2 linked regions of the Mus musculus genome follow. The protein of the gene in region 1 purifies or fractionates together with the protein of each later gene. This does not show direct contact. Links are inferred from orthologs where the notes say so. Each region holds a gene or a part of one and is shown in the gene's direction. Other genes may lie near its edges.

The links. Proteins that work in one complex are often made in the same cells at the same time.
Region 2: the proteins of Maged2 (region 1) and Nap1l4 purify together in Homo sapiens (affinity purification with mass spectrometry; 3 studies listed by BioGRID and IntAct, counting the BioPlex papers as one, with this or other methods). This does not show direct contact. The link is inferred for Mus musculus from reciprocal best matches to the Homo sapiens genes MAGED2 and NAP1L4.

The regions. Positions count from the first base shown.
Region 1 is NC_000086.7:150,811,085-150,816,720, reverse strand, and holds the start of Maged2 (melanoma-associated antigen D2), read left to right. Parts: upstream 1-2,375; 5' UTR 2,376-2,492; exon of another isoform or gene 2,493-2,519; intron 2,520-3,013; exon of another isoform or gene 3,014-3,105; intron 3,106-3,458; exon of another isoform or gene 3,459-3,648; intron 3,649-3,718; exon of another isoform or gene 3,719-3,983; 5' UTR 3,984-4,005; coding exon 4,006-4,050; intron 4,051-4,406; coding exon 4,407-4,898; intron 4,899-5,538; coding exon 5,539-5,636. UniProt on the Homo sapiens protein: Regulates the expression, localization to the plasma membrane and function of the sodium chloride cotransporters SLC12A1 and SLC12A3, two key components of salt reabsorption in the distal renal tubule.
Region 2 is NC_000073.6:143,545,511-143,551,198, reverse strand, and holds the start of Nap1l4 (nucleosome assembly protein 1-like 4), read left to right. Parts: upstream 1-2,078; 5' UTR 2,079-2,157; exon of another isoform or gene 2,158-2,172; intron 2,173-2,252; exon of another isoform or gene 2,253-2,462; intron 2,463-5,018; exon of another isoform or gene 5,019-5,070; intron 5,071-5,688. UniProt on the Homo sapiens protein: Acts as a histone chaperone in nucleosome assembly.

The DNA.
Region 1 (5,636 bases):
AAAGATTCTACAGTTCATAAGAAGAAAATGAAAGAAATTTTCCTTAGTCAAACAGTAAAGATTTTTTTAACTAATTGGTTTTTCTCTTCAGATAAGGTTGCCTCTCAAGGTCCTAAGATAAGGATATTTATGCCATTGTGTTAGGAAGGAAGTAAAAGAGAGGAAGGGCATTGCCCGGCTGATGAACATGAATTGAGCTTACTTCATTAAATTCAATAGTATGCAAGGTTCTAATTCTGTTCCTCCAGAGACCACAAGTGAATCAACATGGAGTTCTAAATGTTAGAAATTGTTAACAGAGCACACAGAAAGCAGTTTCATGGGAAGAAGTTCCTAGGTGAGAGAACACATCTTCTGATAGTAAAGTGTGTTGTTTAACTGGTATATGGGCAACTAGATATAATTTTCAGAAGAAAAAGGTTGGCAAATAGAGATAGGTGTTTCTTGAAAATCCACTCACTGTCATGAATACCAATATGACACTGAGAACCACCAGGAAACTGGGGCACAGTGTAGACTCGAAAATACAATGGCTGAATGAGGCATACATGTTTCTCATTAAAGGAAATTCAGCAAAGTTGTCAGGAATTAAGTTCTTGTTATTTACTGCACTACTACCCTAAAGTATACAAGTGCCAATTTCTAGATTGATACCCTCTACTCGGACCTTTTTCTTGATTCTCAGACAGGCTTATCCAACTGCCAATTTGACATTTCTACCTGGATGTACCACCAGTGCCATAAAATCAATGTTCTTTTCCTTTTTAACTCCATTATTCCATGACTCACTGAAAGGGTCACTATCTGCACTATCTGTTAAAGAAAGATGCCAATATTTGACTATGTTCCTCCTTCCAATCCACCCCTCCACAATCCAATTACTCATCAAGTCCTAGCAGTCCACCCCGCCCCCACCAATCTCCTCACTATCTCCCCTGCTAACACTCTAGGCCAAACCACAAGCACTGCTTGTTTGGATGACTACCAAGGTCATAGCTATGCTCTCTAGTTCCAAGAAGACACTTAATCCCCATACAACACCTAAGATCTTCTAAAACACACACCTACAACATCTATGTGGTGACCAGCTGTAGGGTGCTTTCATAGACCCTCAGGACCCTCAGGTTTGAGAACTTTATTTTCTTGGTATTGGAAGTTTTCCATAAGTTGGATAGGATAGGAATTTGGGGCACCAGAATTGGAAGAAAATGAGAGACTATTCATTTGTGCTCAGCAGAGAGAGCCTAGGAGATAAGAAAGTAGAAGGGTGACATTACAAACTTGGGGGAAGTAACAGTTTATAGGAAATGAAACGAATATATAAACCCGCCTTGATGATGTGTGAAAATGTATGTGAATCAAATTGTCCATAAAGCCATAAGGATTGGCTATCTTTCATTTGTCCAGTATGGGCAAAGGTGACCTCAAGAAGCAGACTTCTGACTATTTGTGTATAAGAAAGATCTTGAATTTTATTTCTATAACTACCGTGAATTATAGTTTATAATAAGCTTTTTCTGGGTCTGCATTCACCTGCTCTATTGCTAATGATATTTTGTCTACTTCTCTTTGTCTTTACATTTTATCTTGTTCTCATGAAGACACCCAGTTGTTTATGTGAATTTATCAGGCAACAGAAGTGCCATTTCAAACTAGTGAAAAACGTTATTGAGGGTGAATCTGTCAATGCCATAATAAAAGTCATTACTTTGTACAGTTAACTTACGCTGAAAATGGTAGTTTTTTCAAATGAATTGAATCAGCAAAACATAATAAAACAACAAAACAGTCCAATATAGACACCAGGATGGTCCTTGTAGCATTGTTTGTAATAGTTCGAAAAGGGGGAAACAACCCAGAAAGTACACGAAGCTGAACTAAGTAAATAAATTATAGGACAGTTATACAAGAAAACATTATACATTTCTAAAAAAACATATGCTAAGGGAAAGAGGTTTGAATATATAACTTGAAAAAAAGCAGTTACAGAACAGTAGGTAACTAGTATAGCCGGTGTAGGGAGAAAGTGCACATAATCAGACTACAAATTAAAAAATTAATGGAGGAATGTCTATCAAAGTACTCAATGTCATGAGTATTTCTGAGGAAGGAGATTAAAGATAGCTTTTAATTTTCTGTTACATATTTCTGCATTTCTCTGGTTTTCACATGACAACACACTACTTTTGTAGTAAGAAAAATAACGATATAAAATAAATAATTTCAATGAATGAATCGTTTTCGTGGGGGCAGTTTGGGTTGGAAGGGCTTCAGACCGAACCTGGTACAGAGGCATAAACATGGGCTTTGGCGTCAGACAGCATTGAGCAGGGCCCCATTGCCCCACCCCCGAGGAAGGGGGCGGGGGGTAGGGGGCTGCGGAAAGGGGCTGGGCTGGGCTGGGCTGTCTGCAGCTCTAGTCCAGGAGGCTGAGACTTCGAGAGGGACTGAGAGGAGCAGGCACACGCATCCCAGACTCACTGGAGGACAAGGTGAGGGAACAACATTGGGCTTTCCTGGTGAGCAGACAGTGGTTCTAACTACCTGAAACCTATAGCTGGGCAGGTGGGCAATTCTTATTTGACCACTATAGCTGGAGCAGAAGTGCTGCATTTGATGCGGTGTGAGAATGAGAACGACCAAGAAAGTAGTAAGCTGTATATGAACTGGACAGCAGAGACTGGCAGAGGTGGAGGGGAGAAAAAGGGGAACTGTGCATGCTTGGAGGAGAAGGAAGAATATGGGGAAATAAGAAGGGGAAGGCGAGATCCAGGGACAAGAATAGGGGATGCAGAGAAGGGTTAAGGGACACTGGGGAGGGGGGTTGCATAGGTAACACAGAGAAGGATGTAAGGAATGGGAAGAGATTTCTGTAGAGTAAATAGGAAATGCGATGGGAAATAGGGAGTCCGGAGTTAGGCAAGGGAATAGGGAGGGGGGGAATAAGGAGTGTTGAGGGGGGAGGGGCAGACGGGCTGGGACGGAGGCCCCCTAGGGAGGCGGAAAGGGGCGGGACCACTTCCGGCCTTTAGTGGGGAGGGCAGTATCTGAGTTTCGGAGGGGCTTGGAGAGAGTGGACACACTCGGGAATTGTAGGAGGACGAGGTAAGTCATGGGCCCCAGCTTTGGATGAGAGCCTGCTAGGGGTCGGCCCCACCCTCTGGGATCTGGAGAAAACCTGCCTTAAGAGCCAAATCTTACCGAATCCATCCAGCTAGGAAGGGAGGGGACTGGACCCCGTTTGGCTGGGCCTAAGATGGAATCACTAGTTCAATCCTGAGTTGAGGAGGGGGTGTTACAGGGAAGGAGCCAAACCAATTTGGGTTTTACCGTTTGGAGGGGGGCGTGTTAGGATAAAGGGCGGGACCTGGAGGCTCTGTGAAATTGATAGGGTGGTTGTGAGTAGGGGAGGGGCTAGGACCACCAGACACTGCGACAATTTGGATGGAAGGTTTGTTGGGGAGGGGGCGGGGCTGAACAGCATTGCGGACCTGGAGAGGGGCGTGTATAGGAGTTGGGTGCTGGACTGAGACCGTGGACATTGCGCATGCGCTTTATGTATAGCTAGAAAGGGGCGTGTTGAGAAGGGCTCGCAGAGACTGGGCCAGCTGCTGAATGCGCATGTGCACGGTGGACTTCAAAGAACGGGTTTGTACTGGGAAAGCAGGCGGGGTTGAAAGGGCGCTGCAGAAGACGCGCATGCGCACTCTAAGCCTGCGGCTGGGGGGGGGTGCGCTGGGAAAAGGGGGCGGGGTCCTCAGAGCTGCCGCGCTGGCACATCTTCCTGGAGGAGGGGAGGGTGCGGCTGCAGAGAACTGAGACCTAGAGACAGAATTTCTGTATCTGAGCACCTACTGGTTGGGGCTCCGGGAGGGGCTGGGCTTTGGGGCCCTAAAGAAGGTGAGGATCAGCTTCTAGGCAGAACAAGGGATACGACGTTCAGCGGGCTCTCCACTTGACCCAGGCCTTCTCTTTGAACTCAGCTTTGCTAGGTGAACTTGAGACATGTCTGACACAAGCGAGAGTGGTGCAGATCCAGCTCGCTCTCAGGTAAGACCGATACCCCCCCCCCCCCTTTCTTGCTGCTTGCCTTTCAAGCCCCTTTTGCTGCCCTAAATCCTTGGAGCTTCTCCTCCCATCCTTGTCATTCTCCACCCACTTCTTTGCCTGGGTGCATCCCCTCTCCCCAGTGGAGGGGAGGCCAAGAGGAAGGGAGAGAGGGTGGGCGGGCCCTTGGTTCTGTCATTACTTTTTAACTGGGAAGCCTGTTTAGGCTGGGGTGGTCAGAGCACACCACAGGTAAGAGTCTTTACAGGTCAGAGAAGTGTAGCCACCTAATTTTGGGACCATTTGCCTTGTTGAGGGGTGGGAAGAAGGTCAGTGAACTTCCTTGCTTTCCCTTGCAGGGCAAAGCTTCAGAAAAGGACAGCGGCTCCGTGATGCAGGACCTGTTGACCGTGACCCAGAACTTGGAGGTCTCAGAAACACCAAAGGCAGAAAAGGCACCAGAGGTTTCAGAGGCTGCAAAGGCTCCAAAAGCCTCTGGGAACCCAAAGGCGACAGAGGTCTCAAAGGCCCCAGAGGCGTCTGAGGCAGCTGCCACCCAGGCCTCACCTACCACACAGCTGAGTGAGACCCAAGTTCTGGCAACTGAAAACAAGAGTCCAGCAGCTGACACCAAGACGCAGAAGTCTGACCTGCAGGCTATGACAATGCCTACAACCCCGACCAAAAAGGTCAGCTGTGGTACCGATCCAAAGGTCAATACAAAGGCTCCGGAGACTGAGGCTCCTGCCTCTCAGGCTGGGACAGATGAACCAGAGCCTGAGGGTACAGCTGTCCAGGTTCAGGAGAACCAGGATACTCGGCCCAAGGTCAAAGCCAAGAATACCCAAAAGGTAAGACATACCCATCCTTGCTTCTCCACAATCTTCTTGTTCATTTGTCTGCCAAAATTAAAACAATTCCTGTGTTCCTGAAAGACCCAGCGCACACTAACAGGAGTGTGTCACAGTTCTTGTATCCACAGAGCTCACAGGCTGGTGGGGAGATGAGGCAGGCATATACATAGCTTCATGCTGACTGGAATGCAGCTTTTTATATGTACAGAGTAGCTGTACACTATAGACCTTGAGGTAGGCTTATTCACATGTGTAGTCTCATATCTGAAAGTAACTCCTTATGGTACCATTCTGTATGGCAGGAAACTGATGCCCAGAAAGAAAGAGGACTGGCTCGTCAATGGTGCTAGAAGCAGAGTCAGGTCAGGGGTGGATGTGGGAAGACGAAAGCCTCAGGCCTTATTTCTGACTTGTTCCTGATCCACTCAGGGAGGAAATTCCCAACTGGTAGTCAGTGATAAGCCCATGACTCAGGATGGCTAGTGTCCAGTGAGGCAGAGTCTTACTACAAGGGCAGGGTTGTGGGGATGTATCCTAGAAGAGACAGCGTTGGGTGTGCTTTCCAGAAGAGACTGAGTTAAGAGAAAGAGCCACCTGCACCACTTGCTGATATTGACCTTCCCCTCTTTCGATGCAGGGGAAACACCCGGATGGAGAAGAGGATGGCAACAGTGACCAGAGTCAGGCTTCAGAAGCCACAGGTGGTCGAAGGGTCTCAAAGGCCCTAATGGCCTC
Region 2 (5,688 bases), on another chromosome or scaffold:
TTAATCCTAGGAGGCAGAAGCAGTCAGATAGATCTCTATGAGTTAACAGGCTAGGGCTACATAGACCCTGTCTTAGAGATAATAAATAATGAAATACCATTATTAAACTTATTACCAGTTATTGGGGTCTGAGTGTTTTATTCAAGGAATTGAAATAAAGATACACACAGATTGTAAGGTAGCAAGGAAATAGTATCCAAAAGTGAATAGTACAGATCAGAAATACTCTGTGACAGGCCCACGAGGCTGGCCTTGAATTTCTAGAGATCTGTCTGCCTCTTCTTCCTGAGTGCTGGGATTAAAGGTGTGTGCCACTACTGCCTGGTGTCTTACTTAATATTAAAAAGGGGGGTTTGGGCTGGAGAGATGGCTCAGCGGTTAAGAGCACTGACTGCTCTTCCAGAGGTCCTGAGTTCAATTCCAGCAACCGCATAGTGGCTCACAACCATCTGTAATGGGATCTGATGCTCTCTTCTAGTGTGTCTGAAGACAGCTGCAGTGTACTTATATACAATAAATAAATCTTTTTTAAAAATATGTTGGGGGGACTTTTACACTGCCCAGAGCATTATTAGAAAAGCATTATGTGTAGTCCAAACCAAATAAGTCCCTGGCTACCAAACTATTTTCTATACTTGTCTGATTTAACCACATCCACTCCCCAAATAAAAATGAAGTAAAAACCTGGTGGTGCTGCTGCACGGCTTTAATCTCAGCACCGGAGAGGCAGAGGCAGGTGGATTTCTGTGAGTTTGAGGGCATCCTGGTCTACAGATCGAGTTCCAGAACAGCTAGGGCTACACAGAGAAACCCTGTCGTGGAAAAGCAAAACCAGCCACTAACCAATCAAAATGTCAGGAAAAAAAAATGTATGTCAGAAAAAAATGTAAGTAAAAACATACGAGCTTATTTACTTTCCTTAATTTTGTAAGCGAAACTGTTTATACATAGTTCCAATTTAAGAATGAAAGAGAAGTAATACAGAAAAACAATGCTGTAGACCTTCTGGCCTTCAGTAACCACACTTCATTTTAAGTTTTTGTTTTTCAGACAGGGTTGCATGTTGCTCAGACTGGCCCCACACTGGCTACATAGTTGGAAGTGACAAACTGCTCATTCTGTCACCTGTATCTCTTATCTCAGAAGTACTGGGATTGAAGGCATGCATGTTGCACCATACCCAGCTTTGTTTCCAACTGCCCTGTTCGTAGAATTTGTTAGGAAAACACACATTATCTGCAAGCAAGTTATTTATTCTTATCAGATGTTGTCTATTGCTTCAATGAAAACACCATGACCAAAAAGCAAGTTAGGGAGGAAAGGGTTTATTTGGCTTACACGTCTATATTGCTGTTCATTACTGAAGGAAGTCAGGATAGGAACTCAAGCAGGGCTGGAACCTGGAGGCAGAAGCTGATGCACAGGCCATGGAGGGGTGCTGCTTACTGGCTTGTGCAGCTTGCTTTCTTACAGACACCACCAATAAGCCCAGGGGTGGTACTACCCACAATGGGCTGGGTCCTCTCCCACCAATCATTGAGAAAATGCCTTACAGTTGGATCCTATGGAGGCATTTTCTCAAAGCTCCCTCCTTTCAGATAACTCTAGTTTGTATCAAATTGACACACAAAACCAGCCAGTACAGATGTGCTGAACTTTTCTATCAGAAGGGTAGTCCCATGCCAGGCAGGCACTGTAGACAGAGGGTCAGAAGGCCTTGAGAAGTAGGCGGTGCTTTTCCCAGGCCGGGGGAAGGCAGGGAGTTGTAAGTAATCTGGAAAGAGCGTTGCCGATGTGGTCCAGGAAGCTCAAACCCTAGAGGTTGTAACAAGCCCAAAGTCCTACACGCGCGCCCAGCAGCCCCTTTAAAGAAGCACGAACTGCGCGTGCGCCGGAACACACGTCACTACTCTAACTACATATAGCTCGCGGGCTTAGGCTGGACGCCGTGCTCCCTCAACAGATTTTGATTGGATACCGCCTTTCCTAGTGCCTGGTGCAGTTGATAAACAGCTCTATTGTCCATTCGTCGCCCGTTTTGCTCGCAGAGGGTGGAGCCCGGCGATACGGCCAATGGCAGGTGGTTTTGTTGGCGACCACGGCGGTGCAGCCCCGGAGCGAGCTTAGGACAGGCGCCACTGCCGCAGGAGGCGCGAGGTGCGGTGCTGGCGGGTAACGGCGCGGCGGGCGGCTGGCGAGGGACTGGGGCGGAGGAGGCGGAGACGGGGAGGAGTGGGCGGCGCGGGCAGGCCGACGCGCCATGGCGGCGAGCAGAGGCGGGCGGCGACCGGGTCAGAGGTCCGGGTGGCGGGTGGCGGCGGATGGCGGGCCGGTCCCTCCTCCGTGCAGCCCCGCCCCCGGCTGAAGGTCAGCGCGCTTTGTTCCCGCCGCCCGAGAACCCACGCGAAGCGGCGCAGGCGGTTCCTTGAGAGGACAAGGCCTCCCCAGCGAGGTGGGCCTGGGTACGCCTCGTCTCAGACCGCGCCTGGGAAGGAAGGGGTCTACTGGGCCGCCGCCTCGCCCTTCCGGGCTTTGCATGCTCTCCGCACAGTGCCCCGGTCTCTGAGCCAGACCTCACTCTCTGAGCCTGCGGTGGAGGCGGAGCCAGCCTAGTGACACACACTGAGCCTTCAGACCCGGGCGCCCCTAACGGGTTCAGGGTCGTCAGCAGTACCCCTTCTTCCGAGGGTATCCTTGGGGCAAGTTGGCCCGCACTTCCTCCAACTCTGCTTCGCTGCCTCTTGGAGGAATTTCCGCGGTAGCTTCCGGCGCGTGCGCTGCGGTAACGAGCATATGCATATTCCACAGCAAAAAGACTCAAGTTTAAGTTTTTGGTCCAAAAGTTAAATGCTTTTAAGTTACTGCCGCCTTCCTGTCATAGTAGTTGCTTCCTCTCGGTGACTAATCTCCGCTTACTACACACCAGGGGCTCCTTTAAGCTCCTGACGTGTCTTAACTCATTCACAATAGTACGTGATGTAGGTGCAACAGGCTGACTGTGCATTAGCAAGAAACGCCTGGGTTTTGAAGTGGTTCGGTTTGTGGAATATTTGTAGGTCTGACAGATGAGCGTACCTAATCTGGAAATCCAAAATGTGCTCGAAAAGAAGTGGGTTTTGGGACGTTCTGATTTCTTTTCTTCTTCTTCTTTTTTTTTTTTTTTTTTTGGTATAGGAGTATTCGACCTGTATTGCAAATTAAGTCCCTGATAGGTTAAGTGTGATGGTACCTTGCATCTAAATTCAAATAGATTTAATCTGGCTCAGTTTTAATAATAAATGTTTATTATTAAATAAATAACGTATTGAAACAAATATTCAGATGAACAGTAAGATTCAGAGAAAGCAGGGCTTTGATAGGACTAGAGTATAGTTCACCTGTCGGGTAGTCTACAGCTGTATCATTTTAACTAAAGTAGATGCTGTAAAACTCAGTTGTCGGTCTCAACCCCCCCCCTTAGTTGACCAATATTGGTTCACAGTGTCATAACATTTAAACACATTTTGATGTTTTAGCTTTAAATCCCGAACTGTTTTTCACAGTTAATATAGAATAGCTGGTGAAAATAATAGTGATTTTATCGTTTTTTGAAAATTCTGGAATTGTATTACCAAAGTTCTGGGGGAAAATGTATGTATTTTGGGATCTTCTCAGAAATCATGGCTTGTGAGCTGGCCATTTGGCTTTGTGTAGTTGAGTATATAGAATATACCAGTGGGCAATAAATCTCCTGCAGGGGTGGTATTCTTAGAAATGAGGTAGTTCACCACTTTGGTCTGACTTTGTACTTGAGTCTTAAAATGCCCCAGCTAAGATAGATATGGCAGTATACACCTAGATTCCCAACTGCTCTGGAACTGTTTAAAATCTGTCTTGGAAAAACAGCAAGATCCTATCTCACTTTTTTTTTCCTGTTTGCCTCTTGTTAGTGAAAGTATACTGTCCCTGCTAGCTGTCTTTATGTTGTGTATAAAAGTTTATGTTGTATTTGTATAAAAATTTAACTGCCAGTACCTAAAATTTTGGTTTTTGGAAGAAAAAAAATCCTAGACAAGAGAGTTAATTTAGGGGTGGTTAAGATCATTGTGTGCTTTTGCAGAGGACCTAGGTTTGAGTCCCATACTCATAAGGTGGCTTCTAATAGTCTATAACTTAAGTCCCAGGGTTCCAACAGCCTCTTCTGGCCTCTGCAAGTAGTGCACAGACAAGCAGGGAAACCACCCATACACATAAATAAGTTAGAAATTTAAGAAAGGGTAGTTTAAATCTGAAGGTCTAAGGGCAACTCTCAGTGTGAAATAGGCACATCAGTGAGTTCTTTGCTGCTTGCATCCAGCCCCAGGTGACCTGTTTTGAAAAAGAGGCAGTAGTAATGAGCTGTTGGGGACTTCTAGCCCGTGAGTACAAGGTTTTTTTGTTTACTTAAAAGGAAATGTAAGTGGGTGTGTTGGCTTGTATCTGTATTCCAGCTCTTAAAAGGTAGAAGCAGGAAGCTCAAGGCCAGCCAGCGCTACTGCAAGAAAGATGAAGTGCATTTAGGCATTTAGAATTGAAGCTGATGTCATCTTCATCTTGCTGCACCTATTGCCAAAGTAGAGGAAGGTACTAGGGAAATAGCAGGGACTTCCTTCTACCCTCAGCCTTTGCTAGGGACTACCTGATAGTGGTAGTATGGAGGCTTCGTAGACTACACTTGGGACCTGTTATTAATCATAGATCAGTAAGCCTGTTTTGGTGGGTAAAAATGGGTAAATAGCAGAGTCTTGGAATGGATTTTTAGGCATTTTGAAGACAGTTGATGGTAGCATAGATTTGTTTTCATCTAGCAGTCAGGTCTCCTGTCTCCTGAGAGGAAGCTCATCTGCTTTACTTTGCTCTGCTATTGAATTTGACAGTAACAGGAGGCATGTGGTATTTTTATAGTGTGAAAACTACAGAAGCTGGCTTTGTGAACTTTACCTTTTGATTCTAGCTGCTTGCTGTACAGCCTTAAATTCCTTTTTTCTGTGTTCTGTCAGCTGTTGTAACAATGTGCTTCCATCCTGTGTCCAGGAGACTCAGTCTAGTGAGGTAAGATTAGCTCTGAGCTTTATGTACAAAAAGATAATTATTATATTTATGATTTAAGTCACATTCAGTTGCTTCAGAGTAACGTGTATTATTCATGCAAGATCTCCAGCCTAGGGTCTCCAGTGTAAAGCAAATAGTGAATGGCCTTGCCCTTCCTGCAGCGGGAGCAGGTGAGAGTCAGATGTGGGAGGATACTTTTGAGACACTGGAGTCTTGGAAGGTAGTTTGTAATTTCAAATATGGGGGAAGAAAATGCCTCTTAGCAACAAGAAGAGATAGCCAGTGCTGAATTAAGAAAATTGTCCTAATATCTGCTTGTTCATATTTTCATAACTTTTCCAAATGCTGCCGAGGTACTTCGTCTGCCAGAGGAGCATTTTGCTTGAGGGAAGAAAAAAAAAATCATTTTGTCCTTTCTTCCTGAAGCCTGGTGGTTTGGCTTCTAGAAATCTCTGGTGAGATGACCTGCTGTTTTCTGCTGGAGGTGTTTCAGTACATGTTGTAAGCAGATGTGACTAAGGAAATGTCCTCATCTTGTGTCTTCCAAAATTGCTTAGGATAGGCCAAGATGTTCAAAGGGAGTTCAGTACCGTGGTTCTTACATGCAGGGATTAACTG